Struthio camelus: one gene and its partners. The protein of the gene in region 3 binds, or shares a complex with, the protein of the main gene of each other region. Links are inferred from orthologs where the notes say so. Each region holds a gene or a part of one and is shown on either strand. Other genes may lie near its edges.

The links.
Region 1: SF3B2 (region 3) and CRNKL1 share a complex: the UniProt entries of both Homo sapiens proteins name them as parts of the minor spliceosome. The link is inferred for Struthio camelus from reciprocal best matches to the Homo sapiens genes SF3B2 and CRNKL1.
Region 2: SF3B2 (region 3) and RBM48 share a complex: the UniProt entries of both Homo sapiens proteins name them as parts of the minor spliceosome. The link is inferred for Struthio camelus from reciprocal best matches to the Homo sapiens genes SF3B2 and RBM48.
Region 4: SF3B2 (region 3) and EFTUD2 share a complex: the UniProt entries of both Homo sapiens proteins name them as parts of the minor spliceosome. The link is inferred for Struthio camelus from reciprocal best matches to the Homo sapiens genes SF3B2 and EFTUD2.

What each region holds. Positions count from the first base shown.
Region 1 is NC_090944.1:145,285,267-145,292,790, reverse strand, and holds the start of CRNKL1 (crooked neck-like protein 1), read left to right. Parts: upstream 1-4,524; 5' UTR 4,525-4,756; coding exon 4,757-4,804; intron 4,805-5,348; coding exon 5,349-5,501; intron 5,502-6,391; coding exon 6,392-6,483; intron 6,484-6,609; coding exon 6,610-6,768; intron 6,769-7,129; coding exon 7,130-7,296; intron 7,297-7,524. Other genes in the region: CFAP61 (cilia- and flagella-associated protein 61), read right to left, coding at 1,395-1,545, 3,024-3,048. UniProt on the Homo sapiens protein: Involved in pre-mRNA splicing process. As a component of the minor spliceosome, involved in the splicing of U12-type introns in pre-mRNAs.
Region 2 is NC_090943.1:27,304,212-27,312,160, forward strand, and holds the start of RBM48 (RNA-binding protein 48), read left to right. Parts: upstream 1-4,949; 5' UTR 4,950-4,987; coding exon 4,988-5,098; intron 5,099-6,458; exon of another isoform or gene 6,459-6,577; intron 6,578-7,023; coding exon 7,024-7,214; intron 7,215-7,340; coding exon 7,341-7,486; intron 7,487-7,949. Other genes in the region: peroxisomal ATPase PEX1, read right to left, coding at 2-116, 361-444, 2,377-2,520, 4,510-4,638. UniProt on the Homo sapiens protein: As a component of the minor spliceosome, involved in the splicing of U12-type introns in pre-mRNAs.
Region 3 is NC_090976.1:1,017,543-1,025,382, reverse strand, and holds the start of SF3B2 (splicing factor 3B subunit 2), read right to left. Parts: upstream 3,001-7,840; 5' UTR 2,975-3,000; coding exon 2,833-2,974; intron 855-2,832; coding exon 808-854; intron 507-807; coding exon 429-506; intron 1-428. UniProt on the Homo sapiens protein: Component of the 17S U2 SnRNP complex of the spliceosome, a large ribonucleoprotein complex that removes introns from transcribed pre-mRNAs.
Region 4 is NC_090966.1:727,009-734,309, forward strand, and holds the start of EFTUD2 (116 kDa U5 small nuclear ribonucleoprotein component), read left to right. Parts: upstream 1-4,301; 5' UTR 4,302-4,408; exon of another isoform or gene 4,409-4,480; intron 4,481-4,751; 5' UTR 4,752-4,752; coding exon 4,753-4,857; intron 4,858-5,839; coding exon 5,840-6,005; intron 6,006-6,455; coding exon 6,456-6,534; intron 6,535-7,301. Other genes in the region: CCDC103 (coiled-coil domain-containing protein 103), read right to left, coding at 1,668-1,800, 3,437-3,579. UniProt on the Homo sapiens protein: Required for pre-mRNA splicing as component of the spliceosome, including pre-catalytic, catalytic and post-catalytic spliceosomal complexes. Component of the U5 snRNP and the U4/U6-U5 tri-snRNP complex, a building block of the spliceosome.

The DNA of each region.
Region 1 (7,524 bases), on a different chromosome or scaffold from region 3:
TACACATACGCACGATCTGTCCCTTTGCATCTGCCTCTGATGTCACTACCTGTTTGTTTAAGATGCACTAAATGAAGAAGAATCTTCTTTGTCTTTCACTGACATCTCTGTAGAGAAGGAGAACCCTTTATAAAGCAAGTTTCATGTTATTTTCTCCTCCTCTTCAATTTTTTCCTTGTTTCCCCCCTCAATAAATTATCAGTTGGAAAGAGGGAAAATAAAGCTCACTAGATTTTAGACCCTCTTTCTCTTTAGACATCTTTCTCTCTGTTTTCAAGTTCTCCAGACTCCAGCCTTGCACTTGCATGTACTCAGCTTAACTAGCATGCGTAGCAGCACTGAGCATATAATTCAGCCTGTCAGAACTGTAAAATCAACCACATTCAAAAGAGCTCAGATGTTCAGGACTCAATAAAACTTCATTACCCAAGTCCTGACTTAGTGGTTCCTGAAATTATAACAATTCAAACAATTTTTGTAACCCTCAATTACTTCATACTTGGCATGCGAGAGTTAAACGTTCCTTCTTCTTTGGATCTTTCCTCGTAATTCTATTTTTCCCAAATACTTAGTATCTATTTACCTTTAAAGACAAGCGCAAAAAAAAAAAAAAACTTGAAATGACCCACTAGCATTTCACGCGCTCTGCCTCTGTGTGCTATACATCACCGCACAGAAGAGAAAGTCTCCAGCACTGCAGATATTGTAGCAGAAGGCTTCCACAACTACCTGCTTTTGCTAATGGTTTTGCCAGGCAAGAAACTAGGCTACAGATGTTCTAACATGGGGGATATTAAGTATCTCAGTGGTAGGAAACAAAGGAAGAGGTACATTGAAACATGCACTTTATAGCAGATGGAGAGAGCTTGTCTCCTAAGGCAGAACAGAAGAGGCAAAAAAATCCCTAACAACTCCTTTCCTTAAGGGGAAACTGGCAGAGAAGGAAAATGTTTAGACATAAACAAGCAAAGAGAATAGAAGGGTCATGGCCACACAGTGATCAAAACCCCTAATCCCTGCCGCTCTATTTCAAATACTCTCCAATTGACAAAAGGCTTCAATTAGATGAAAAAGACCGCAGACATTGGAATCTAACGGTTTCATCAGGTAATATTCAGAAGTATTTCTTCCGAACTTTTATAAAAAGCAGGGTAGTATATAGTCAAATTCTGATCATTATATTCACTACAGTGCTCCAACGCGGCACAGTCATGCACATTTGTGGCAGAAAGGAGATGGAAGCAAATTTTCTTTCCCTTTGATGAATTGCATAAAAAGTCACTATGCTATACCGTGTTAAGGCTCATAATGTTTATCTGCTCTTTTAAGCAGAACACAGTTTCTTGAAGTTTCCTACAAGAACGGTAATATAACATCCCTAAATAGTTACTTACAAAAGATATGTGACATTAATCCTTCCAAAAACTTTTTCTGTAGAATTGCTGATGAGGTTGATAATATCAGGAATATCATGTGATTCTGTCCTTCTGATACTGACCACTTCTGCATTTCCTCTCGAAGAAGTTATTGCAGTCATTTTATGGACTGTAACGAAAAGAAAGAAAACATTGCTGTTCTAGCAGATCCTGCAGCAACTTGCTGTTGAACGTAGTTACTTGAAATGGAATTTTTTAAAAGACTGGGAAGACTGCAACAGGATTTAAATGCCTAATTCCTGCAGGCCTCTGCACATATACATGACTACTCCCTGCATGCTTAGATATGGTGTGCATACAGTGCACATGTGGAAATACAGTAGGCAGTCATACCTACTGTACATATTCTGTATGCTACAGAGAAGTCTTTTTAATGGACTACAAACTTTTGCATCTATTATTTATTTAAAGGTATTCACAGGCTACTTATTAGAACAGTACTCATTGTTAGTCATTTCAAATTCTTAATAGTTTTCAGTCTATAGGGTTGGCAGGATCAGCTCAAGTGATCAGAATAATAACAACATAATAATATTAAAAAGTAACCTCAACTGAGCCAAGCGCATTTTGTCCAAAACAGCTCCTCGAACTTCTTTTTTAAGTCAACAATGATGGTTAATCTTCAGAAGGAACTGAGAGCGCTATAGCTTCCCTGCCCAGAAGGAAAACATTTGTGTGATTCCACATTTGCACAATTTGTCAGGTCCCAAGTGATTTGTTAAGATGTCTATCAATTTTGCAACAGACAGGGCAATAGGCAGTCAGCCCATCTGTGACTATCAACTAACAGTTCACTTATCTTTCAACTTTGTTGCCACTCAATACTGTATGGACGCGTTATATCCCGTTGTAACAGAAATAAAAATTAAGCAGGCAAAAATACAGAAATGGACCAAATACAGTCATTTACTGCAATTCCTTCAACATATATGTGTAAAACAGCATTGCTAATTCAAAAAAAAAGGAAAAAGTCAATATAGCTAACATATCTAGACTGGCAGAACTCTTTTCCCAATCTACCAAATATAACAGCCATTTCCAACATTGGCTCCAAACACAGATATGATGCCAATCACCCAGTTGTGCTCTACAAATCCCAGCTAAAATGAGATAATGAAGGAAATCCTGAATCTTATCCTTTTTATATACAAAGTCATGTGTACTGCTACATCTTTCACCTATAGTCAAGATATTATTGTATGTAATACTACCGGTCCCAGTCATGCAAATTTATGTTTGTAGAAAGGCCCTGGCACCAACCTGAAGGTAAATGTCTCCAGCAGGTTTTAATGCACGGGCTTAGTGGACGGAATTGTTGTTATGCAGAAAGAATCCAATTTCGGTTGGTATACCGAGGAACATACAACTACCATTCTTGTACCGAGCAGAAAGATGAATCTCATGAACTTTCCCTCTAAAGACTAGAGGGGAAATTTCTGTCTCCCAGCTGTCTGGTAAGTGAAACATTTTCCTCTGCACACAGAAGCATCATAGATATTCTCCCTTTTTAACTCTTGGTGTAGAAATAGCTAGAGTCACTACCCTTCAACTGCCTCATTCATCCAGCTTAGATTCGAATATACTTACTTAATATGGAGCATGACAATAACATCTACCAAAAAAAAAAAAAGATACTAGCTTGCATAGGCAATTTCTCCAATGTCTTAAGTTGTAAGACAGGTATATTATTTCCAGTGGAGTGGAAGCAATTACATGAAGGCTAAGTGAAGGATGGTTCCTAAAATGAGTAGACACAAAATTAACATAATTCACTTATACATTTAATTATGTAACTTTAAACTGTGAGACTATCTAAATAGTCGGTTATTTTTTATTAATTTCATCTCCATAAATCAAAGCAAACAGGAATTTTTATATGTTGTTCACAAATTTAACTTCAGCATTAAGATTACTTCAGCTGAGGAAAGTGCAGCTGGCCAAATTTCCATATTTAGTTGTTTAGCTTCATACATTGAAAAATACCAGCCCACCTCCCCTCAAACACTAGTGCAATTATGTCTGACAGAAAGCAACATTTATACCTTAAAAATGTACTGTTTTTATAAAAACAAAATGTACTGTTCCTATAATAACTCATGTAGTTGTATTAGAACAGCATACAATAGCTGGAAAAATTGGCAAAACAAGCAGATAAAGAATTGTTCCTTTTCTGAACCAGTTCTTGTAATAATTTCCTCTCCAGCTCATTAATTAATTAATTAATTAACACATTCTCTTTTAAGCCCAGGGGGGATTCCCAAGTGATAACTATTCTGTTAGTGACTCAAAGCACACCAAATGTGTCATAAGCATGTCTCTCACAAGACTTCCACAGGACATCTCCTGATTGCTCAGACCCATGGCAGATGGCACATACAAACCATACTGAACCAGGCCAAGAAAGAATTAATGGCTTCCTCTGGCAACAGGGATGAAGGATGTTGACCAGTCCCATCCCTGAAAGGCTTAGAGGAACAAAACCAGACCCAAATTGTAAAGCTTAGATGCCCTGAAAGAAGGCTGCTAGGTCTAAGAGCTGAGCTAAGCACTCTTGACTAATGAGCAAGCGAAAGCAGCACGGAAAATCAGGACAGGACACGATGGGTTTTTATGGCTTTGTTTACGAATATTGACATGTCTTGGACCATGCATCATCAGCACAGACTTTGCTATGCAATAAATAAGAATTTTGATCATTCTTACAGCCATCATTCATTTTAATCTCAGGCATTTGGCAACAGCCCTTAAGTCAGGAGCAGAGCTTTGAGGCTCCCAACGTAGCCCCTGAAAGGATCTACACAAATTCAGAAACTGAAACAGACTCTAGGGGCAGAATAAAATCAAAGTCAACCAAACACCCAACTTTAGCACTTCAGCTCCATCACCCCCCCCCCCCCCCCGCACACGCCCGCCCCGGCGGCTACCCCGTGCCTCATGTAATGCCTAGGGGCCCCCAGGGGGCGCCGCGCCGCCAGGAGCATGCTGGGAGCCTGGCCGCGCAAGGGGCGCTGGGAAGCGTAGTTCGGGGCTAGGGTGGTGGGGGTGCACCCCGTCTCCCCCAGCCGCGCTGGGCGCTCACCTTCACCCGGCTGCGACGGAGGGACCCCCGCTTCGTGGCGCTCCCAGAGCGGTGCGGCCGAGGGAAGCTGGGGACCGGCGGAGCGAGAAACGTGCGCTCGCTGTCCTCCCCGGCGGCAGCTTCTCCCGCGCGCAGAGCGGCCGTTAGGACGCGACGCCGCTGTTGCCGCGGCAACGGCGCGCGCTGGCGCTGCGTGAGGTCAGAGGTAACGGGGCCGGGGCCAGCGCGCAGAGGCGGCAAGATGGCGTCTACGGCGGCCGGGAAGCAGCGGATTCCGAAAGTGGCGAAGGTGCGACCGGGCGCTCGGCCCCGGCGGTGGGGAGGGCAGGGGAGCCACCCGGGACCGGGGCAGCCGCCCGGTCTGGCCAGGGGAGCCACCCGGGACCGGGGCAGCCGCCCGGTCTGGCCGGGCAGGGGCAGGCGGCGCTCCGAGCGCTTCCCCGCCCCCCAGCGCCAGAGTCGGCACCGATCCCCGTAATTTCCGCGGTGAAGGCGCGCTGGGCTCGGCCGTGCCGAGACGGCGTTTGAGGCAGCAACGGCCGCGTCTGCCGTCCGGGCCCGCCCGTCGTCGTCGTCGCAGCACGGCGGCTCACGCCGAGTGGCCCCACCATGACTTCAAGAAAGTTTTCCTTGTTTTTCGTGCTGCAGACAGAAGCAACGTAGCTTTGGGCTAATATACACGTTAAGACCCTGTTATTTCTCAGTCGGGCCCCATATCCTGCTTTGGTAAATACTGAACGTAGTAAGTCCCTGGATTAAATTACTCATGATGGGATGTTTCAGTTTTGCATTAACATGGAAAATTTTAAGTTAACTCCTCCCTTACTTTACAGGTGAAAAATAAAGCACCTGCAGAAGTTCAGATCACAGCAGAACAGCTTTTAAGAGAAGCAAAAGAGAGAGAGCTTGAACTTCTTCCACCACCTCCTCAACAGAAGATCACAGATGAGGAGGAGCTAAATGACTATAAACTTCGCAAAAGGAAGGTAAAGGCAAAAAAAATCCCTTACGTTGCTGCTCATATAACGCACTAAAACGTTAATTTTTTTTAATTTAAGCAAGATGTTTAAGAGCCCTAATGAAAATTTAGGGCTTTATAGTGCCAGATGGTGATGTCATTTTGCTCAGGCACATACAAGGCAACTGGAGTTAGATGATCAACACCACAGCGCTCCAAAACAGTTTTTGATGTTACATTTTTCTCATCCCTCATGTGAAGAGCAGTAACAAAACACCACATGTTAACTGTGTGTGTTAAACCATATTTAGCTATATGTTAAACAGCAATAGCAGCGTTCTTGATAGTAGTCCACAGCGCTGAAGAGGCCCTCACCATTGCACCAAGCTGTGAAATTTGTCTCGCACGTTTGGCACCAGAATATTTAAATCGAAAGAATAATCATAATGCATCTTGCTGTAAAAATACAAACAAACAAAAAAGAGAGAACGAGAGCGCACAATGATACAAATGGGTCGAAGGGAGCAAACTCTTGCTGACACATATGAATACATTCAGTGTTGTCTGCAGTGACTGGATTCTGTACGTCCAGTTAACGTTGCTATTGAATAGCTAACCAGGAGATTGAGGTTGAAAAAGGAAAAGATTTGAGTGCTATCTGTTAATATTCTGCCGGTATTTTATGTATTAAGTTGCAGGAACTTGAGTTTAGTCCTTATCTAAATGATGATTTATGCTTCTAGCTGCTCTGTCACTCAATTTTTGGAAAATGTTTTACTGAGTATGACTTGTTTCAACATCTGCATAGATATAATATTTGGAACGTAGTCCAGTTATAATAATATTCTGTAAAGGGTTTACAACAAGATCATTCTGCACAGAGGTATTTCCTACTTACAGAAATAACTTTCTCCTCAGACTTTTGAAGATAACATAAGAAAAAACAGAACTGTTATCAGTAACTGGATAAAGTACGCACAATGGGAGGAAAGCCTAAAAGAAATACAAAGGTAATTATGCTGTAGCTGCAGGCATCTCTTTTAAACTTTTTTAGATGCATGCTGACAAATACCATGAAAGTCTTAGAGGCACGTTATGTTCTCAACATACTTCAACAATGTCTCTTTACTTTCCAGAGCTCGTTCCATTTACGAACGTGCTTTAGACGTAGACTACAGAAATGTCACTCTCTGGCTGAAATATGCAGAAATGGAAATGAAGAACCGCCAGGTTAATCACGCCCGCAACATTTGGGATCGAGCCATTACTACCCTCCCCAGGGTCAACCAGTTCTGGTATGTTTTCAGAGAGTAAAGCATTGCTTTAACTCTCAAAGAGCATGTTTCATTTTTCTGTTTAGGCATAATGCAAGAGTGCATTGTGTTCTCTGTTTCTGCAGTTCTTCAAGTTAATCCCCAAAAATGGAAAGGCTTAAGTTTTAGAAAGTTTTTGTACTTTTCAAGTGGTTAACAGTAGTGGAAGAAGGATGTTTGTGTATCTGCGTGCTGCCAATCACAACAGTATAGGCACTTCTGGAGGGCAAGTGGTGAACAGGTGGAGAAATCTCAGTAATGCTCTTACTGAACACTCAAAAAAAGTCATTGTACTTTTAAGCATTTACTAAGTGATTGTAAACACTTGATCTTATTTTCTAAGGTATAAGTATACTTACATGGAAGAGATGTTGGGGAATGTTGCTGGAGCACGTCAGGTGTTTGAACGTTGGATGGAGTGGCAACCAGAGGAGCAAGCTTGGCATTCCTATATTAACTTCGAGCTGAGATACAAGGAGGTGGACAGGGCGCGTACCATTTATGAGAGATATATCCTTTCTAGTGCGTTGTGATTCCTACCCAGGTTTAGGCTTGGATTCTTCATTTCTTTTATTTAACAGTACTCGTGTTTCCAGCTTCTTGCAGTCATCCTTTGTTTCAAATTCCTCCTTCTTATACTTCTTCTTGACCCTTGTCTGATTTTTTTTTTCCCCCCCTTTCACCTTTTTTTTTTTTTTTTTCTCCTTAAGTTCTTGGGACCGAACATGAAGCCTTTGC
Region 2 (7,949 bases), on a different chromosome or scaffold from region 3:
CCAATTCTGATGTAAACGTGAGTATGCTGTTCAACCCATACAGGGAAGATGGCTTTTGGAAATACTATTCGAATTTGGTCAAGAAGGTGTTTTTCAAGAGAGGAGGCGTGCAGTTCCTATGAAAATTTACTATCATTAGAAATAAAATCCTTCATAAATATTTAAGATTTGTTTGAGGATAAAAACTCTATGTCTCTTTCTAATATACCATCTGAAAGACAAAATACTATGAAAAACCCACCACATTTATTGCTTCCTTCGGGGAGGTAAAGGACAGCGATTGTGCTGAAAACTACATATACCTGACATCTTTGTCATCTGTAAGGAAGAGGACGTGAAAAACAAAAAGAGTTTTCTTACCAGTATTTCCCAATCATCTGCTGAGAGTGGTTCCACTTCTACTTGCTGACAGGAAGAGACATGAGAACAGGGTTCAAGGAATACCTGACAAATGTAAAACCATTTTGAAGTATTTAACTCCTTGCTTTTAATAAATAAAAATCCATCTTTAATTCAGCCAGACAACAGACATCTCCGTTATGCTTTCATTACTCTGAATATACGCTATCTTAATGGCACTAGCTAAGCTTATTAGCAGAAGATGAAATTTCAGTGCATTGGAAATGGATTGCATTGGGTATGCTTGGCGCTTTGATGCACCATGAACATAAGTGAATGAGAAGTGCATCAGGAACTGTATCAGCTGATATAAAACAATCCATTTTAAAGCATTTTGATCACACAAGCTTCTTTGGATTTTTATTATTTTTTAAAAAAAGGTTCCGCACTCTAGGAAAATTCATCCAATTGTGCACAAATTTACATAAGGCAGAAATAGCTGAAGAAATGGAAGAGGAAAAAATACAAAACAATAACAACAGCAAAAAACACACACACAATGAAACCAAACCAAGTTCTTCAATGAGTGGGTTCACAGGAAGCATCCCCACTTCCACATAACAGCTTTAAGGTCCTGTGTACCAGGAAGAATTATAGAAGCTGTTGTGGCTTAGGGAAAATACATCTTTTCAAGAGTCTTAAATATATATTTCAAGAGTTAATTTTACCAAAGGTTCATTATTTCAGAAAATAACAATTTTCAAACAATATAAGGCCATACATTTTTAAATAAACTCAAATAAACTTCTTCTGAGATAAAACTATCTCTAGTTACCTGTCCTCTGAGACATATTTGTTACTTTTATAAAAACTGATCTGAAATAATTGATTTTAAATTCCTGTGGGTCCTCAAGTTTGAAGCAAAAGGTGTGAGGAAATACCTTTTCCCAAATGTGGTAAACAGAAGAGCATATAACTATGAAACACAGCAAACATGTACTTTGAGGTCAAAAAGGTGGTGAAACTACTTAATCGTTCATGATGTATAGATGATTATTTCCCGACAACAGCTACGTAAGGTTTTACTCAAACTTCTTTTGTCGATTTATTTATTTTTTTCTGTTGAAGGCTATTAATTGTTAGAACAGAAAAGGCCACTTACCTTGCCACTGAACTAGTAAATCTAGTAAAAAAGTAAACATGCTAATGTAATACACTGCTTCAAGCCATGTCCTCTGATGTGGTTTATTTTGTTGAATAAGATTTTCTACATAATAGAATACGCATATATGAATATATGACACAGTAATATCGTGCAGAACAGTACTTTTCTACTCCTGTTGATTTAACTCTTCACCTATTAAGATAAAAGAATCTTGGATGCTGAAATGTTAAGAGTCCCATGACGCATATCTTTGGCTGTCTCCTGGGCATCTATCCAACTTCTCTACACTAAGAGAATCATTTAAAGAAGTTGTTGAACACACTGTCCAAGAGTAAGAAAACAGTAGGCCAATTTAAATAAATATTCAAAGAAAGAGGACATGGGGCTATAGGGTGAAGGGAGAATAAGAGGGTGACAATTCAAATCCAATATAAGTCAAATAAGAAGAAATACAGAGCAAGTCAATAATTATTTAACAATGACAGGAACTCCAGGCAGAATATTTTAATGAAAGAATTCCCAACTTATTTAACTGCAAATTATGTTTTCCTAAAAATAACGTCACTGCAGAGAGTGGCTCCAACCCTGCAAAAACCTACCCACAAGCCTATCCTTACATCATTTAGGTAATTGTAATGATTTTATGAACAAATCTTTTCATGGTTGAGACATGCTTCATGAAGGTGAACTTTTTCCATCAGACAGATATTAACAAAGTAACTTGGAGATGAGTGCACACGAAACAAGATGCCAGTTGATAGTTAGCTTGTAAACCATTATCTCTTCAGGGATCTTGTGCTATACATTCCATGTTTAAAAAAAAAAGGCGGGGGGGGGGGAAGAGAGAGCGATCGCGAGATTGCATTTCAAACCTGTTCTCCATCGGTAATGCCAAGTTTCTCTGCTAATTGTCTGTTAATCTCTGCAATATTTTCACCCTGGTGACCTCGATGCCTGATTTCCATCCAGCTCAAAAATATAGGCTGATGACCGCCGGAAACTTTCACAGCTTGGCCCTATTAGTTTCAGAGAAATAGAATAAATTAGTATCAAACAACTTAAATAAAATGACTCTTATTGAAACTAAAGCTTATATTTGATTAGAGAGCTGAAAGAAATTCAAAATAATTTATGGATTTTACCTGCCCAATTTTAATGAATATTCCAAAACTGTAATACACAATGTTTATAGTGTTTCTATTAATGATAATGGAAAATTTTTGGCTCTGGTGGACTGCTCAACTTCATCATCAAGACTTTCCTCAGAATTCTTCTCCGTGTTAGCTATCTGCACAGCTTCCAACACAGAATTTCTTGTTGGTTTCAATGTTTAAACAGCTTTCAATTTTTATAGTCGATTTTAAGTATATCTTCTTCCCCTTTTTCTGCATGATAATCTACCAACCAAATATCCCATAGAAATGTATAACTACACATTTTTATCTCTCATATGGGGGGAAAAAAACATACGTATATGATTAAGTTTCACATGCACTTTAATATATTCAGTACAGACTCTAAGAGTGCTTTCATGAGTTGGAAAATATTTTTAAAAAAATGTTATACTGACTTTGCTCAGACTACTATACGAATAAGTAAGCCCTAGCTACAGGATGAAACTGTAAGACTGTAAAGAAATTGCACTCCTTGTTTCTATCTCCTGAAGGCAGATTTGTAGCAAAAACGAAGCTAACATTTACACTGAATTTTTTGTAACAGGAACCTGTTCATCCCCACAGTTTACCAATGCCCCTTTAATCTCTCTTTTAGCACTCTGAAGGAAAAATAGTAACTTCTTACAAATCTAGATAATTTTGCTGTTGTGATACGTCTTTCTTGACCTCAGGAAATTAGCATGATGTTATGGGCTATTCCATAAATCTCCATGTGATTATTTGTCAAGTTAGCACATTCCAGTCTGCAGAAGGTATAAGAGGATTGCACGTTCCTGCTCCATTCTCAAACTCCATTCTGATTTTCTCCTTTTCTCCTGCTCCTTCTTATGGTGTCTTTTTTCTGCATACGTGATCTGTTCTGTTAACAATTTTTAAATTATTGACTTCTTTACCTGGCACAATGGATGCTCACAGGCCTTGCTAGTGTTTTCCTGTGTGAGATGTTAATAAAAACATAAGGGACGCTTCCTGCAACTGATTCGCATACCTCCTATCATCCAAAGCCCTATTAAGTATTTCTGTACAGAACTACACAGCAAAACATATATTTAGGTACACCAAGAACTATGATTCTGCACAGATTTAACATCTTAGCTACTACTTGAAAGATCCAATTTACATGTTATTCAGTTAATGCTGGTGCATGGATTACTGCCAAAAGAAAGGTATAAAAATAGGCAGTGCTGAGAGAAAAGTAGATGACAACATGCAGGTGGTGTAAGACTAAGTTCAGAGATAACGAAGTCCCACCTTTTTTTGTTTTAGCAAGGAGAACGCATGACAACACGGTCAGAAACCTTGGCACGACGCTGTGAACCGTCCAGACACGCTGACGGCAGGCAGCGGCCCGACTGGACGGCAGCGGTACGAAGCGTAAGTTACGCGCTTCTACGGGAAGCCACAGGGCTGACTGACTTTAAACACTGCCTCCCACACCCCTGATCTTGTCCGTACGAGGGGGGCAGCAACAGCCCGCGGGCAGCGGGGGGCGGGGAAGGCCGCGGGCGGCCCCCGGCGGCGCTGGGGCTGGGGCAGCGGCAGGCCGGGGGGGGGGGGGGGGGGCGGGGCTTCCCGCTGCCTCTCCGGGAAGGGCTCCAACCACCTGGGGGAAGGGGGAGGCGCGCGCGCGCCTTGTCACCATGGCGACAACACAGCTTGTAGGGGAGAGGTGACGTCAGCAGTGATGGGGACCGGGGGAGGGGGAGGGGGAGGGAGACTGCGTATCGCCATGGCAACGGGATGCCGGGAGGGAGGAGAGGTTGCTCTCCCACAATCCTCCCCGCCCCAGGAGTCCCTTCGCCCAGGCCCCGAGCGGAGCCTAGCCGGTACCTGCTGCAGGCGAAGGTGAGAGGCCAGCACGGGAGGCAGGTGCAGGAAGCAGTCCCGGCTCCCGCTGAGGACCACTGTCACCGCGGCGACTCCAGCTCCGCCTCCCCCAGGGTTGCCGCTGCCCCACATCCTGGCGGGCGGGCAGCCGGGCGCCACCGCCGCCGGGCGCCCGCTCCGCCCTAGCGCTCCGTGAGGAGGGCGGGCAGCCTAGGCCTCCCCGAGATCCCTCCCCCCCCCCCCGGGGCAATAGTATGACCCACGGCCAGCCAATGGGAGCGCGGCATATACTCATTCCCTTTTTCTGATTGGTTGCTCTATCGAGGGCTTCAGCTTGTTCTGTCTGGCTTCCGTATGCCGTCGAGCTCCACCTAGTCGGAGCCAATGAGAGTAAGGCAGTTGTTCTGTCCGTTGCCTCATTGGCTACTCTCTCGGGCAGCGGCTAGAGCGACCTCCGTGGGGCGCAGTGACCGACGGGAAGATGGCGGCGGCCGGCAGCGCCCTGGGCGATGCTTGCCGGCATCACGCGCAGTTGGGGGCCTGCGAGTCGCGCGCCAAGTACCGCGAGGGGCGGAGGCCGCGCGCCGTGAAGGTGAGGCGGCCGCGGGCCCGGCCGTGCGAGCGGGCCGTCCGCGCTCCCCCGGGGCGGCTGCGGCCGCGGCCGCCTCGGAGCGGGCGCTGCGCCGGCGGGTCCGGCCGTGCGGCGCGGCGCGGCGCGGCGGCCGCGGCTGCAGGCGCGGCTGCTGTGGGGGGAGGGCGGGCCTGCGTCCCGTGAGCTCGTCGGCAGGAGCGCCCCGACCTCGCGGGCTGTGCTTGTGTCGCTTCTTGGTGCTTGTCTCCGTTCAGGGCTTTTCTGCGGTTCGTCTCCTCCGCCGTGTTGCTGCGGCGCATCGTGTGCCGGCTCCGGTAGGGTTGAAGGCGGGCGTAGCGTGAGGCGCTCCCCTGACAGAAGTCGGCCTGCCTTCTCACCTGTCGGCCGAGAGGAAGCGGCTCTTTCAAAGTCAGCAGGAACTTTGCTGAGCTTTGGAGAACTTTACTTCCAGTTCTTGAGACATACCGTCTACTTTGGCAGTTACCGCATCCTGATGGCCCTCTGCCGTGCTCGTTCAGTGTCCTGCGCTGTGCCTGGAGCGCACAGCTGTGCAGCATGAGTAGCCCCTGCCCTGAAGGGTTTGCAGCCTTAGCGTGTTTCCTTTTTATGCACAAAAGCAGTAGGCACTAGCAGGAACTGGTGGATGTGAGTCCAGTAAATCTAGTAACCTCAAAACTGTACCTTGTAAATTAATTGGTTAGAAATGCATGTGGCACAAGTAGTCCAGTCTTAGGCAAAACATAAAAATACAAAAATGATTAAGTGGAGTGTAAAGAGACTTCTGCAGCTGAATGCTGCAGTTATTAGCTAACAGAGTTGGGTACGCAATGTCATTGAACTCAATAGGGCTTAGATGCACAAGGCTGTTCTTGTATTTATGTAGTCACACGCATCTGCTCCTGGTAAGATTCAGGGAAGGGCACACATTATAGTTGAAATTTCTCATTACACTGGGCTGGAGAAGGCTGCATTTGCTTTTTGCGTGTGTAGTTAACATACTGTGTGCAGTATAGGTATGTTTTAGGGCTGACTTGGGAAGGAGAACGGCTAGGAATAAGCTGTTGTCAACGAGAACAATTTTTGCACGCTATTTGGAGAGGGTACCTTTTTATGACGGTGGTTTGAGAGCTGATTTCCTGACTGGTTCCCTCTGGTCCTGCATTTGCTGGCTTTTGAGAAGGATGTGCATCTCATGCAGTCTAAATGTTTTTGAATGAATTCATGTATATTTTTTAAATCTTACAGTAACCAACCTGCTCTACGTAGACTGAGCTGTCAGAGCTTCCCTTGGATTTTTCTTCCTGTGTTGTTCTGCTACAGTCATTATGCAAAGTAGAAAGGAATTTCTGCTAACCTGCCAGGGAAAACATTGCTGCTCTCAGCATCTGATTTACGTATCTGTCTCTCAAAAATGTATCTTGTTTGATCACTGCAGCAGAGGCAGCTCTGTACACACATGATGTGCCCAAAGGGATCAAAGTATTTTCTGCCTGCTTTGCCTCTCTGCCTTGTGATCGGTAAAGATTTTACAGGATTTGTTCTTTATTTTGACAGTGCCTCATACTAATTGGCTACGATTCAGTCTTGCAAGGAAATCTAGGGACTTGAAGTACTGCTGTTTGCTGAATAAAACTTATGACCTGGTGGAGAAAGTGCCGACTCTAATTTGCATTCTACTTTTGAGTAACAGGAATGAGTTCAGTCCCTCTCAGTGATGGAGAAGTCCCAGAAAACTCTGCACTTACCTTTTTGCTAAGGTCCTGGCTTACTGCTACTGCCAAAATCTAAATAGAGCGCAGAGGATTTTCAGTGTTCTGAGAGGATTTGAGGAGCAACAGACAACGTACAGGAAATTCCTGGAATTGTTACTTTTGCACTAAAGTAAGAATATAAACACTTTAAAATACTGTGTTCTGTTCTTTCAGGTTTACACTATCAACTTGGAATCTCGTTACTTACTAATACAAGGAGTTCCTGCGTTAGGTGTCATGAAGGAATTAGTTGAACAATTTGCATTATATGGTGCCATTGATGAGTATCATGCTCTAGATGAATATCCAGCAGAGCAGTTTACCGAGGTTTATCTTATAAAATTCCAAAAACTGCCATGTGCAAGGTACCGTATAGGGCAGTATCTGCCTTCTTCTTACTCTTTTACACCCTAGTTGTTTGTAATCTGTTAAGATTCCAGACAGTTGAAGTGCTAGTCTTGGTTTTGCTAATACAGTTTAATTTCCTTCAGGGTGGCCAAGAAAAAAATGGACGAACGAAGTTTCTTTGGTAGCTTGCTGCATGTGTGCTATGCTCCAGAATTTGAAACAGTCCAAGAAACGAGGGAGAAGTTGCAGGATAGAAGAAAGTATATAGCAAAAGCAACAAATCAGAGAGGTTTGTAATTAGATTTCCTATAGATCTAACATATCGTTTCAGTGGTGGGTGGGTTAGAAGTGCCCACAATAAAACAAAATATTTTGTGTTTAACTGTTTTAAAGATTCATTTTAAATAAGCTAGCAGCAGAACAGGGACATCTTTCAACATTTAGAGGGCTGTATATTTTTGAAACAATTTTTAGTCTTTGGTTGATACAAAAATAAAAAAAATGCACAAGTTTTAATACTTCATTGTTTCCTTCCCTTTCCATTTTCTACTCTAAACGTTATCAGAAATTTCCAGCACTGATCAAGAAATTGGAAGTCATCTTTTCACCCTTGTTCCAGCTTATTCAGGCAGACCAAAAGGGAAAAAGTATTGTAAGGGGACCACACCCAGAGGCTTTTAACAAAACTTCTCTAGGCCATGCGTTGGCATTGGAGGAATGCTGAAAATGGACTGGGTTTACAGGCAGTGGGG
Region 3 (7,840 bases):
GCACCCCAGGGTCCTCCATGCTCCCCATGGTACCCATCGCCCCCCATGGGGCACCCCAGGGCCCTCCCCTGCCACCAGAGCACCCACCGTCACTCTGCCCCCCAATGAGGCACCCCAGAGCCCCCCCAACCCCCACAGCACTTGTCACTCCCCCAATGGGGCACCCCAGAGCCCCCTCTGCCACCTACAGCGCCCGCTGCCCCCAATGGGGCACCCCAGGGCCCTCCCGGCCCCCCACAGCCCCCCAGAGCCCCCCATGGGGCACCCCAGAGTCCCCCCTGCTCCCCATGGCACCTATCGCCCCCCATGGGGCACCCCAGAGCCCCCCCTGCTCCCCACAGCACCCACCGCCCCCCATGGGGCACCCCAGAGCCCCCCCTGCCCCCCACAGCACCCGCCACCCCCCACAGGGCACCCCAGGGCCCTACCTGCCCCGGCAGCGGGGGCTGCGCCGCCTTGTCGCCCTCCTCTGCCCGGAGCACAGGGCGGCTCAGCACGATGCCTGTCTGTGGGGTGCAAAATGGGGGGGGGGGGAACGTGGTGATGGGGTGTCCGATTTGGGGACCCTGCCTCGGGGGAGGGTGTAGGGACCCCCCCCCACCCTGAGGGGACACAGGGACTGCACTCCAGATGGTGGGAGGGGATGTGGAGCAGGGATCCCAGCTGGGGGGGGATATTGGAACATGGGGGACCCCCACCCGGGGGGACGCTGGGACACGGCAGCACCCACGTGGGGGACGAGGAGGGGCTGACCCCCCCCGAGGGTGCCCCGGCGCAGGGCCACCCGCGGGTGCCGGGGCGGCTCACCTGCAGGGTGTAGGTCTGCAGCCGCTCCACCAGCTCCTCCCGGCTGCCTGTGGGGCACCCGTCGGTCAGGGACCCCCAATACCCCCGGAGGGACCCCAATTCCCCCCCACCCCAAAACCTGCTCTCAAATGCCCCCCCCCACCCAAATCCCCCTGCCAGTGTCCCCAAATACCTCCATCCCTGTCCCCAAATGCCCTTCCGAGTCTCCCCCAAATACCCCCACGGCCTGTCCCCAACTCCCCTCGTCCCTGCCCCAAATACTCCTACAACTCCCCCCAAATACCCCCATGGCCTGTCCCCAACCCCCCCCCCCGTCCCTGTCCCCAAATACTCCTCCAACTCCCCCCAAATACCCCCATGGCCTGTCCCCAACCCTCCCCTCGTCCCTGCCCCAAATACTCCTACAACTCCCCCCAAATACCCCCACGGCCTGTCCCCAACTCCCCTCGTCCCTGCCCCAAATACTCCTACAACTCCCCCCAAATACCCCCACGGCCTGTCCCCAACCCTCCCCTCGTCCCTGCCCCAAATACTCCTACAACTCCCCCCAAATACCCCCACGGCCTGTCCCCAACCCTCCCCTCGTCCCTGTCCCCAAATACTCCTACAACTCCCCCCAAATACCCCCACGGCCTGCCCCCAACCCTCCCCTCGTCCCTGCCCCAAATACTCCTACAACTCCCCCCAAATACCCCACGGCCTGTCCCCAACCCCCCCCTTGTCCCTGTCCCCAAATACTCCTACAACTCCCCCCCAAAACCCCCACGGCCTGCCCCCAACCCTCCCCTCGTCCCTGTCCCAAATACTCCTCCAACTCCCCCCAAATACCCCCACGGCCTGTCCCCAACCCTCCCCTCGTCCCTGCCCCAAATACTCCTACAACTCCCCCCAAATACCCCCACGGCCTGTCCCCAACCCTCCCCTCGTCCCTGCCCCAAATACTCCTACAACTCCCCCCAAATACCCCACGGCCTGTCCCCAACTCCCCTCGTCCCTGCCCCAAATACTCCTACAACTCCCCCCAAATACCCCACGGCCTGTCCCCAACTCCCCTCGTCCCTGCCCCAAATACTCCTACAACTCCCCCCAAATACCCCCACGGCCTGTCCCCAACCCCCCCCCTTGTCCCTGCCCCAAATACTCCTACAACTCCCCCCAAATACCCCCATGGCCTGTCCCCAACCCTCCCCTCGTCCCTGCCCCAAATACTCCTCCAACTCCCCCCCAAAACCCCCACGGCCTGTCCCCAACCCCCCCCTTGTCCCTGCCCCAAATACTCCTACAACTCCCCCCAAATACCCCACGGCCTGTCCCCAACTCCCCTCGTCCCTGCCCCAAATACTCCTACAACTCCCCCCAAATACCCCCATCCCTGTCCCCAACCCTCCCCTCGTCCCTGCCCCAAATACTCCTACAACTCCCCCCAAACACCCCCATCCCTGTCCCCAAACACCCCCATCCCCATCCCTATCCCCCCCGCGGCCTGTCCCCAAATACTCTAAATCCTGCCCCCCCGAACCCCCCCCAGCCCCCAAACACCCCCATCCCCAACCCCCCCTCAAGGCCTGCCCCCACCAGCCCCCAAACGCCCCCCGGCCTGTCCCCAAATACTCTAAATCCTGCCCCCCCGACCCCCCCCAGCCCCCAAACACCCCCATCCCCAACCCCCCCTCAAGGCCTGCCCCCCCCAGCCCCCAAACGCCCCCCGGCCTGTCCCCAAATACTCTAAATCCTGCCCCCCCGACCCCCCCCCAGGCCCCAAACACCCCCATCCCTGTCCCCAAACACCCCCATCCCCAACCCCCCCTCAAGGCCTGCCCCCACCAGCCCCCAAACGCCCCCCGGCCTGTCCCCAAATACTCTAAATCCTGCCCCCCCGACCCCCCCCAGCCCCCAAACACCCCCATCCCCAACCCCCCCTCAAGGCCTGCCCCCCCCAGCCCCCAAACGCCCCCCCGGCCTGCCCCCAAATACCCTCAACTCTGACCCCCAGACCCCCCCGGCCCCCGCCCCGCCCCGGCGGACCCTGCGCGGGGGCGCCGATGTCGGCCAGCGTGGCCTGCAGCTCGGCGGGGGCCCAGGCGGCGTAGGGCGCCGGCGGCGGCGGTGGCGGCGGCAACTCCCCCGCGCCGGGGCCCGCGGCCGCCTCCGGCCGCTCCGTCGCCATCTTCCTTCCCGCGCCCGCCGCCCCCTCCCGCCGCGCACGCGCCAGGCGACCTGCCGACCTGGCGTCATGGCGTCATGGCGTCATGACGGCGGCGACCGCGCGCTGCCTGCTGGGAATTGTAGTCCCCGGCGCGGGAAGGCGGGTGGGACCCAGGCGGCCGAGCCGGCCCTGAGGTAACGGCCGGGCACCCGGGGGGGGGGGGGGCAGGACGCCTGGGCCCCGGGGGGAGGAGGGGTCCCCGGACGCCTGGGCCCGGGCACGATGACTCAGCACGCCGTGGGAACGCGTGTGCGGGGCAGTGCCGTGTTGGTGGGGTGTGCTGGGGGTGTGTGTGCGGGGGGCGGTGCCCTGTCGGTGGGGTGTGCTGGGGGTGTGTGTGGGGCGGTGCCCTGTCGGTGGGGTGTGCTGGGGGTGTGTGTGTGGGGCAGTGCCCTGTCGGTGGGGTGTGCTGGGGGTGTGTGCCGGGCGGTGCCCTGTCGGTGGGGTGTGCTGGGGGTGTGCGGGGTAGTGCCCTGTCGGTGGGGTGTGCTGGGGGTGTGTGTGTGGGGCGGTGCCCTGTCGGTGGGGTGTGCTGGGGGTGTGTGTGGGGCGGTGCCCTGTCGGTGGGGTGTGCTGGGGGTCTGTGTGTGCGGGGCGGTGCCCTGTCGGTGGGGTGTGCTGGGGGTGTGTGTGCGGGGCGGTGCCCTGTCGGTGGGGTGTGCTGGGGGTGTGTGTGGGGCGGTGCCCTGTCGGTGGGGTGTGCTGGGGGTGTGTGTGTGGGGCAGTGCCCTGTCGGTGGGGTGTGCTGGGGGTGTGTGTGTGGGGCGGTGCCCTGTCGGTGGGGTGTGCTGGGGGTGTGTGTGGGGCGGTGCCCTGTCGGTGGGGTGTGCTAGGGGTGTGTGTGCGGGGCGGTGCCCTGTCGGTGGGGTGTGCTGGGTGTGTGTGCGGGGCGGTGCCCTGTCGGTGGGGTGTGCTGGGGGTCTGTGTGTGCGGGGCGGTGCCCTGTCGGTGGGGTGTGCTGGGGGTCTGTGTGTGCGGGGCGGTGCCCTGTCGGTGGGGTGTGCTGGGGGTGTGTGTGCGGGGCGGTGCCCTGTCGGTGGGGTGTGCTGGGTGTGTGTGCGGGGCGGTGCCCTGTCGGTGGGGTGTGCTGGGGGTGTGTGTGCGGGGCGGTGCCCTGTCGGTGGGGTGTGCTGGGGGTGTGTGTGCTGGGCGGTGCCCTGTCGGTGGGGTGTGCTGGGGGTGTGTGTGCGGGGCGGTGCCCTGTCGGTGGGGTGTGCTGGGGGTGTGTGTGCGGGGCGGTGCCCTGTCGGTGGGGTGTGCTGGGGGTGTGTGCGGGGCGGTGCCCTGTCGGTGGGGTGTGCTGGGGGTGTGTGTGTGCGGGGCGGTGCCCTGTCGGTGGGGTGTGCTGGGGGTGTGTGCGGGGCGGTGCCCTGTCGGTGGGGTGTGCTGGGGGTGTGTGTGTGCGGGGCGGTGCCCTGTCGGTGGGGTGTGCTGGGGGTGTGTGCGGGGCGGTGCCCTGTCGGTGGGGTGTGCTGGGGGTGTGTGTGTGCGGGACGGTGCCCTGTCGGTGGGGTGTGCTGGGGGTGTGTGTGTGCGGGGCGGTGCCCTGTCGGTGGGGTGTGCTGGGGGTGTGTGTGGGGCGGTGCCCTGTCGGTGGGGTGTGCTGGGGGTGTGTGTGTGGGGCGGTGCCCTGTCGGTGGGGTGTGCTGGGGGTGTGTGTGGGGCGGTGCCCTGTCGGTGGGGTGTGCTGGGGGTCTGTGTGTGCGGGGCGGTGCCCTGTCGGTGGGGTGTGCTGGGGGTGTGTGTGCGGGGCGGTGCCCTGTCGGTGGGGTGTGCTGGGGGTGTGTGTGGGGCGGTGCCCTGTCGGTGGGGTGTGCTGGGGGTGTGTGTGTGGGGCAGTGCCCTGTCGGTGGGGTGTGCTGGGGGTGTGTGTGTGGGGCGGTGCCCTGTCGGTGGGGTGTGCTGGGGGTGTGTGTGGGGCGGTGCCCTGTCGGTGGGGTGTGCTAGGGGTGTGTGTGCGGGGCGGTGCCCTGTCGGTGGGGTGTGCTGGGTGTGTGTGCGGGGCGGTGCCCTGTCGGTGGGGTGTGCTGGGGGTCTGTGTGTGCGGGGCGGTGCCCTGTCGGTGGGGTGTGCTGGGGGTCTGTGTGTGCGGGGCGGTGCCCTGTCGGTGGGGTGTGCTGGGGGTGTGTGTGCGGGGCGGTGCCCTGTCGGTGGGGTGTGCTGGGTGTGTGTGCGGGGCGGTGCCCTGTCGGTGGGGTGTGCTGGGGGTGTGTGCTGGGCGGTGCCCTGTCGGTGGGGTGTGCTGGGGGTGTGTGTGTGCGGGGCGGTGCCCTGTCGGTGGGGTGTGCTGGGGGTGTGTGCGGGGCGGTGCCCTGTCGGTGGGGTGTGCTGGGGGGGTGTGCGGGGCGGTGCCCTGTCGGTGGGGTGTGCTGGGGGTGTGTGTGCGGGGCGGTGCCCTGTCGGTGGGGTGTGCTGGGGGTGTGTGTGCGGGGCGGTGCCCTGTCGGTGGGGTGTGCTGGGGGTGTGTGCGGGGCGGTGCCCTGTCGGTGGGGTGTGCTGGGGGTGTGTGTGCGGGGCGGTGCCCTGTCGGTGGGGTGTGCTGGGGGTGTGTGTGCGGGGCGGTGCCCTGTCGGTGGGGTGTGCTGGGGGTGTGTGTGGGGCGGTGCCCTGTCGGTGGGGTGTGCTGGGGGTGTGTGTGCGGGGCGGTGCCCTGTCGGTGGGGTGTGCTGGGGGTGTGTGCGGGGCGGTGCCCTGTCGGTGGGGTGTGCTGGGGGTGTGTGTGTGCGGGGCGGTGCCCTGTCGGTGGGGTGTGCTGGGGGTGTGTGCGGGGCGGTGCCCTGTCGGTGGGGTGTGCTGGGGGTGTGTGTGTGCGGGACGGTGCCCTGTCGGTGGGGTGTGCTGGGGGTGTGTGTGTGCGGGGCGGTGCCCTGTCGGTGGGGTGTGCTGGGGGTGTGTGTGGGGCGGTGCCCTGTCGGTGGGGTGTGCTGGGGGTGTGTGTGCGGGGCGGTGCCCTGTCGGTGGGGTGTGCTGGGGGGTGTGTGTGCGGGGCGGTGCCCTGTCGGTGGGGTGTGCTGGGGGTGTGTGCGGGGCGGTGCCCTGTCGGTGGGGTGTGCTGGGGGTGTGTGTGTGCGGGGCGGTGCCGTGTCGGTGGGGTGTGCTGGGTGTGTGTGTGCGGGGCGGTGCCCTGTTGGTGGGGTGTGCTGGGTGTGTATGGGGCAGTGCCCTGTCAGTGGGGTGTGCTGGGGGTGTGTGTGTGCGGGGCGGTGCCCTGTCGGTGGGGTGTGCTGGGGGTGTGTGTGTGCGGGGCGGTGCCCTGTCGGTGGGGTGTGCTGGGGGTGTGTGCGGGGCGGTGCCCTGTCGGTGGGGTGTGCTGGGGGTGTGTGCGGGGCGGTGCCCTGTCGGTGGGGTGTGCTGGGGGTGTGTGTGCGGGGCGGTGCCCTGTCGGTGGGGTGTGCTGGGGGTGTGTGCTGGGCGGTGCCCTGTCGGTGGGGTGTGCTGGGGGTCTGTGTGTGCCGGGCGGTGCCCTGTCGGTGGGGTGTGCTGGGGGTGTGCGGGGTAGTGCCCTGTCGGTGGGGTGTGCTGGGGGTGTGTGTGCGGGGCGATGCCCTGTCGGTGGGGTGTGCTGGGGGTGTGTGCGGGGCGGTGCCCTGTCGGTGGGGTGTGCTGGGTGTGTGTGTGCGGGGCGGTGCCCTGTCGGTGGGGTGTGCTGGGTGTGTGTGCTGGGCGGTGCCCTGTCGGTGGGGTGTGCTGGGGGTGTGTGTGCGGGGCGGTGCCCTGTCGGTGGGGTGTGCTGGGGGTGTGTGCGGGGCGGTGCCCTGTCGGTGGGGTGTGCTGGGGGTGTGTGTGTGCGGGGCGGTGCCCTGTCGGTGGGGTGTGCTGGGGGTGTGTGCGGGGCGGTGCCCTGTCGGTGGGGTGTGCTGGGGGTGTGTGTGTGCGGGACGGTGCCCTGTCGGTGGGGTGTGCTGGGGGTGTGTGTGTGCGGGGCGGTGCCCTGTCGGTGGGGTGTGCTGGGGGTGTGTGTGGGGCGGTGCCCTGTCGGTGGGGTGTGCTGGGGGTGTGTGTGTGGGGCGGTGCCCTGTCGGTGGGGTGTGCTGGGGGTGTGTGCGCGGGGCGGTGCCCTGTCGGTGGGGTGTGCTGGGGGTGTGTGTGTGGGGCGGTGCCCTGTCGGTGGGGTGTGCTGGGGGTGTGTGTGCGGGGCGGTGCCCTGTCGGTGGGGTGTGCTGGGGGTGTGTGTGTGCGGGGCGGTGCCCTGTCGGTGGGGTGTGCTGGGGGTGTGTGCTGGGCGGTGCCCTGTCGGTGGGGTGTGCTGGGGGTCTGTGTGTGCCGGGCGGTGCCCTGTCGGTGGGGTGTGCTGGGGGTGTGCGGGGTAGTGCCCTGTCGGTGGGGTGTGCTGGGGGTGTGTGTGCGGGGCGATGCCCTGTCGGTGGGGTGTGCTGGGGGTGTGTGCGGGGCGGTGCCCTGTCGGTGGGGTGTGCTGGGTGTGTGTGTGCGGGGCGGTGCCCTGTCGGTGGGGTGTGCTGGGTGTGTGTGCTGGGCGGTGCCCTGTCGGTGGGGTGTGCTGGGGGTGTGTGTGCGGGGCGGTGCCCTGTCGGTGGGGTGTGCTGGGGGTGTGTGCGGGGCGGTGCCCTGTCGGTGGGGTGTGCTGGGGGTGTGTGTGTGCGGGGCGGTGCCCTGTCGGTGGGGTGTGCTGGGGGTGTGTGCGGGGCGGTGCCCTGTCGGTGGGGTGTGCTGGGGGTGTGTGTGTGCGGGACGGTGCCCTGTCGGTGGGGTGTGCTGGGGGTGTGTGTGTGCGGGGCGGTGCCCTGTCGGTGGGGTGTGCTGGGGGTGTGTGTGGGGCGGTGCCCTGTCGGTGGGGTGTGCTGGGGGTGTGTGTGTGGGGCGGTGCCC
Region 4 (7,301 bases), on a different chromosome or scaffold from region 3:
TAGTGGAGTAACCCTAAACCTAGTCAGAACTACTCAGATGAACTGCTGAGCCTGGATCCACTGTCACTGCTCAGGAAGGGATCTGCTGGAGATTGTGGTACTTAGTGAAAACCTCTGCTCCATCTCAAGCACCATGAAGCAAATCAAAGGGACGAGGAGATAAAAGATATGGGATGTAAAACCCAGAAACTGTTCTGATGCCCCTAGCACGCCCTTTCCTTACATACTGCATTCCTACGGGCCTGTGGTAATGTGCTTGGACTAAAAGAAAGAGACATGCTCAATGTGGCATCTCCAGATAAAAGGAAGTCTTTTTTATCCAACATGTAATCAGATTGCTGAACTCATCACTGCCAACTTAACTCAAGCGCAGATTGAAGTAGGATTAAAATGTTTAGGCTTTTATACAGCTAGTGAAAACAAGCCACAGCAATAACAGGCTGTGTTTAAATACAAAATGTAGATGCCCTGGAGATCAGAGCCCAAGCACTAATGAGATTAGGAACAGAATTTCCTCTAGGAGGATCACTGTTCAGTGCAGCCAAATCTAAAGCTGCCTGGAAGAGTTGCAGAAGGATCTCATAATAACAGGCAAATGAGATTCACTGTCAAAAAATTCATGAGATGCTTGTGAGAAGCATCCACGGGAAATATCTCTAGCTACATGTTCAGGGATAGACTCTATTGCAGCTCCCATCCTGCAAGAAATTATCCCTGTCACTGTGTCACTGGGCCAGTAAAAGTCATCATGGATAGTCTTCTGAAAACATCAGCTTATGCTCAGCAGCAGTCAAACTGGCAAAGCCAGTGTGGGGAGTTAGTAGGAAAGCAACTGAAAATAAAACAGAATGATTGCTTTGTGATTGTATAAATCCACAGGGTACCCATACCTTGAATACTGCCTGCAGTTTGCCTACCCTTTTGCACAAAAATAAGCTAGCACTGGCAAAGAGAAGGGCAACAAGGGTGGTTGGAGGTACAAAATGCTTTCTATATCAGAAAGCATTAAACTGACCAGGACTTTTCAGCTTGGACAGAGTCCACTGAAGGGGGTAGGACAGGTGTCAGTTAAATCACAAATGACCGGGACAGGAAATGTTTATTTACTATTTCCCACAACTGAAGAACTAAGGAGCATCCCAGGAACTCATCAGGAAGTAGGTTTAAAACAAACAAAATAGTACTTTTTCACAGCATGCATAATTACACTGTGAGGTGAAAAGGGACAGGCCATATCACAGAAGATATATCATCTGTGGCTATTAAATGTGACAATCCTCATGCACAGACTGGCTCTCAGTCTCTAAACTGCAGCCAGCTGGAAGAGTATGGACAAGGGAGGGCACTCTTCCCCAAGAATCTGTTACTGGCCAGTATCAGAGGTGGGATATTGGGAGCTCTCCTCTGACACTGTACAGCTGGTCCTAGATTGCCAAACAGTTGAAATAGCCTCTTCTTGAAGCAGCTGGTGCAAGTCCTTGTCAGACACAAAATAGGGGCCAAGACTGAACCCTGAAGTTATCTAATTCCAGTATTTCTGGGGATTTTGAGGGCTTGTTCCCAGGTAGAAATATTTTTGAATAACTCTTGCACTTTAAAATAATACCCCACATTATTCCGGAGTAATTTTTAGATGTGGACAAAGTCCCAGAAAATGTCTCCTTCACCTGGGCTATTTCCACGTTGCTGACTTGCTCTCCTTTAGTGTGGGTTGCACAAGGATTCCACAGCAGGTTTCTTTGCTTACCCATTTTGTCCTTTTTCTCTAGAGGCTTCAAGTGTGATGCCAGCACGATATCCCTGCAGGCAACAGAAGAGGAATGGGATATTTAGCAAGATCAAATGCTTCCAGGCTTTGAGTCTCTTCTGCAGTGCCTGCTGTGAGGCTGGCAATTTCTGAGTTTGTGGCATGATACATATCAAACAAGATCTGGATTCAAATCAGATCATGAAGCATCATTGATGGATCAGAGGAAGAGAGAGGATATCGCATGGGGCACCTGGCAGGTACATCTTGCTCACATACTCAGTATTAACCTAATCATCAGGATCAACTAAGCAGGAATTTCCCCAGAGGCTGGACTGCTCTAGAGCACTACGATGGTACCTCCCCAGCATGGGGAACAGGAGCTGGGCATTTCTGACATTTTTACCTTGCCAGAGCCAGGGCCCAAAGAAATGGCAGGACACTTTTGTCCTGCCCTTTTCTTACGGTACACTGAAGATTTTGTCACTTTTAGGCTTTCACGGGAAAGGTCCTAATTTTCTACAGCGCCTAGGGATTGTTTTGTAGTTTGCAGAGTGCTGGACTGGTTATGTTTTTGTGGATTCATTTGAATTCAGTGTCTTATTACACTGATGTCTATGACCACACCAGCCCGGACTCAATGCCTCATGTGGTTCCTTTTGTTTCATGGGATGAACCTCTGTCTCTAGTTAGGCCTCACAATAATTAGCTGGAGGAGATCTTTTGAGCAGTCCCTGCTACTATGCTAGTGAGCCTCTCTAGTAAAGGCACAGCACCCACAGATAGAAGCTGTTCTGTTACCTCCCTCAGATTACTTCTATCTTTAATAATACAGCTGCATTGCAGATTTTGTGGACAGAGTAGGAATGCAGGGTTTTTTTTCCCTATACTTTAACCAACGAATACTACACTGATAGAACTCTGCAGCATAGAAACATGTTCACAGGAACCCTTTTATAGGGACCAGAAGACAGAAGAGAAAATACCATTTCAAAATTTTCCTTCCCTTTCACAGATCTGATAGCATGACTGAATGCATGTGGAGGTGAGACCATGAATGCAATTTGCTCTAGTCATGGATCAGTCTATCAAGGGTGCTCAAGTTCCTGGATCCATCTACAGATCTGGCTGTGGATATCAGTGGGCGAGAACTCAGTGGGGATCAGCTACAGTTGGGGTGGCAATTGGAGCATTCTGTGCTGCCTGCCTCCAAGGAGCTTGCCTGCCATCCCAGGACCATGTTTCAACCCTGCTCAGAGCTCTGGCTGCGTGATGATGACTTTGGGAGCAAGAATACCCTGAGTGGGGTGCTGGGGACCATGTATCACCTTGTCCCTCTGTACTGCCATCACTGCGTGGGGCTGAGAGAGCCTGAGGGGAGGAAGGAGGTCAGGACAAAAACAGTTGGGTGACCACATTAGTGTATAGTGAGCTTAGGCCTGTCTCTAAGAGGTCTCAGAATTAATCACCATCACTCATGGGGTTGTGCTGGCTCTGTGTCAGGAATATCGAGAGCCAAGCACTGGGCACTGGCGAGTTAGAAAAGTGACACTGACCCGCTCAATCCTAATCCCTCTAAACTCGAGGGAATACAGCAGAGGAAGTTAACAGATCTCTGCAGGACATGAAATAAAACAAAACTTCCCTTGAAGAAGGACTTCTGTACTGCGAGGACAGCTTTCGGCAGACCTGAACTCCTCGTAAGATGCCACTTTCTGGTGCACGGCCCGGAACTTGGCGCTGTTTTCCCTCTCATACTTCTCGTCGGCAGCCACGGCTGCTCGCAGCTCTTTCTCCAGAGCGCTGAAGTCGATCGCGCCGTCTGCCTCCATTGTGCACCTAGGAGCAACGGAGAGCGTGGGCCCAGGCTGCCGAGGCGATGGTGGTGGAGCAGCCCCCTGGGCAGGGGGCCAGCACCCGCGGCAGGGCCTAAGCGGCACCCGACACGGGTGCAGGGAAGGGGTCCAGCCAGCGGGCGGGATGGTGGGGCCCCGAGAGGGAGGAATCACCCGCCAGGAAGGAGGCTGAGGGCTGAGGGGACACAGGGACAACCGCTCATATCGTGACAAGCACGATGGGCTGGTTTGAGCCCACAGCCCACTGTGGGGACGACTGCTTCTGCCACGCCAGCCCTGCCGGGCTGAGCACACTGCTGGCCGCAGGGACTCCTGCTAATATCGCGACAGCCCCACTAGGCTGAGCGCACCCCCGACGTCAGGGACACCTGCTGCTATCGCGACAGCCCCACCAAGACGAGCACGCGGCCAGCCTCAGGGATACCCACTCGTACCGCGACAGCTCCACCAGGCTGAGCGCACCGCCGGCGTCAGGCACACCCGCTCCTATCGCGACTGTCGCGACGGACCGGGCTCCCCACCGGGCGCGCGGGCGCCCCTAGCGTCGCCATGGCGACAGGGCAGCGCGGCGAGGCCCCGACTCGGGGCTGCCCCGGACGGCGCCTGACAGAAACGGCCCGCCCCGCCGCGCCGGGCGGCCCGGCCCGGCCCGGGGCTGCCGAGACCCCGCCAGGACCCCCGCGGCACCGCCCGCCTCGGCCCCGCGGCCCTGCCGGCGGGCCTGTCCCGTCAGGCGGCGCGGGCAGCCTGGGGTCCTTGCGGCCTGGTGGCGCGCGGCGCCGGCGGCGAGGGCAGCGCGCGGCGGGTGAGCGGGGCCGGGCGGCCCGGCGGCCCCGGGGCAGGGCCGGGAGCGACACGGGCCTCGCCGGGCTCCGGGGCACGGAGCAGGATGGGGGGATCCGGGGCGGGGCAGGCCGCACCGGGCGAGGAGCCCCGGTGCAGGGCAGAACCGATACGGGGGGCAGTGCAGGCCGTAACAGGCCGGGGGTCCTAATGCAGGGCAGAACCGGGATGGCATCAGTGCAGGCCATAGCGGGCCGGGGGTCCCGGTGTGGGGCAGTCCCGGGGATGGGGTCAGTGCAGGGCAGTGCACGCAGCAGTATCACCACCCACCCGCTGATCCGCGTCCCTGTCCCTCCACCCTGCAGCATGGACACCGACCTGTACGACGAGTTTGGGAACTACATCGGGCCGGAGCTGGACTCTGATGATGACGATGATGAGCTGGGCAGAGAGTCCAAGGATCTGGACGAGGTGAGGGATGGGGATGGGTTGAGCTTTGGAGTCTGGGGGGAGCTTTGCATGCACGCTGTCCTGCCCATTACTCGCCTTGTTCATGCTGGGTGCAAAAAGGGCCGCACGGAGCAGGCACTGAGCCCCCAGCCAAACCCATGGTCATCACAAGCTGCCAGCAATTCCTTTTCCCTGCCAGGCCCTGGTTCTGCAAAAAACTTTCTTCGGTGATGGACTCTGATCCTATTTTATTCCTAATGATAGTAACAGAGTTGATTTAAAAAAAAAAAAATCCAGCAAAAGCTGCATTCCTGTTAGTGTGTTAAAGAGAAAGAAATACCGTTTCTGCTTGAGTCTCTGTTACAATCTTAGGTAGTTCAAGCCATATTTGACTTTGTACTCAATCAGAAGATCCAGATCCTTTCAGTAAGGTCCTTAGGCTGCCTCTTAGTCCTTTCTTAATATACACTAATGCTATGGCAGTATTGTAAGGAGCTCAATTCCCCAGTGATGGGCACAGTGTAAGACACTGTGGACACCAGAGCAGAGATATGGGCAGTGTTTATAAGGACAGCAGAAGGGGGCGTTCTGCTGTGCCATGTCAGTGAAAGGTTTGGAGGAGCTAGGAAGCCCCTCCCAGTCTAGTCTTCCTACAGCTAAAAAGTGGTGTCTGTTGTGTTTGTGAATGAAGGACAAGAGCTGCTCTCCGTGCAGGCATCACTGCAAATGCTGTAGTTTTAAAGGTGGCCTGTGGCTTTTAGGAATGGTGCCGCGGTGGGAAGATTCATCTTGCTTATGGAGATCTTTTCTGCAAATCGCGCTGCAGTTGGTTGCAATATGCCGGGGTTGTCATCATCGGTGGCTCTTTGGCTGTATGTGGGCTTATGGCTTTTTTTTATTGTATGATGCCAAGGCCTATAAGACTTTCTGGGGAGACTGAGGGTTATAAAGCAGTTTGATGCCCTGGGGGATGGCAGCAGCTAAACGTGAGTGTTGGTTGCAGCTCGAGGATGATGATGAGGATGATGATATGGGAGACCATGACGAGGACCACCCTGGGATGGAGGTGGTGCTGCATGAGGATAAGAAGTACTATCCCACTGCTGAGGAGGTCTATGGGCCTGAAGTAGAAACAATAGTACAAGAGGAAGATACGCAGCCTCTCACTGGTAAGTGGTGTAAAGCAGTGAGTTGGGTGTGGAGCGAGGAGAAGTCTCTTAGCAGATCTTTGGAAAAGGGAACATATTACTCCCTTCCATTCTCCCCATTCCCCATGACTTTTAACATCCCTCTTAAAAACCCTCACAGCCTCTAAAATGCATAGACTCTTCCTGTTTGTCTAGCAGTGTCCAGATTTTGGCACTCTGGATTACTGCAAATGCCAAACAAACTATCTTTTGAAGAGCAGACATTGGCAGACACTAGAAGGTTATTTAAAGAGATGTGAAAATATGTTTAAGTCATCTCATTTGTTTCTCCCATAAAAAGATAAAAGAATCTCTCAGCTTGAAAATTGTGTTTCTATCTTCAAAAATCCCCGTTTAGTATTAGCATTTCTGAGAACACTGTTGTTCAGGGTCATTCATAACAATTTTTGTTGTACTTTCTCTTGTTTTCAGAGCCTATTATTAAACCCGTGAAAACTAAAAAATTTTCTTTGATGGAACAGACGTTACCGGTTACTGTCTATGAGATGGAGTAAGTAATATGTAGGGGTTTTAAGGGTGTACTTTGAATCAATCCGTCTGTGCTGTGACTCTCTTGCTTTTTGTTGTTTACAGGCAAAGGTAGAGAGGCAGAGTAGTGTGCGCTATAACGGAGGAGAAAGCTTAGGAGGAGCATTGGGTTTGTTTCTTACTGACACCAGCAATATCACTGTGAGTGCAGCCGTTTCCCCTATTTTGAGGCAAAAAGAAGAGGAAGAAAGCACAAGAGTAACAAATATTTGCCTTGCACAGTATGCGGTGTAGGGCACTAATTTTCCTACCACTAGAACTTAAATCTTTTGTCATTTCTTATCAGCTGGTGTAAACCTTGGCAGTTGGAAACCCTGATGGTATGGGTTTGCTGAAAGCAACTTTTCTTGATTGACACAGCAAAAATTTATATGGCCAGTGTGTTGCACACTTCATATTGATATAGCCGCACTTCATATTGATATAGCCGAAAAGGACATTTTGCTTTGATCCCAAAGAACATAGGCCTACAGCTGTCTCAAATTCATTCCTGTCTATTCTGGAGGAGTTTGCAGGAAGGATTTGTATACCACCACTTGTGCATGAACCACTGCCAAGTTGTGTGTAGGTTAGTATAAAGCTGCAGCTAAGCTGTGCTTCTGCTGCACTTGATGGTATCTGCTGGTTGTACCCTGCAAAGCGGTCCCTGGGGATACCAGAATCTGGAGCAAACCACTCAGAAAAAATTCCAAACAGAAAATTGAGTTATTCTCTCTCAAATCCTATCTA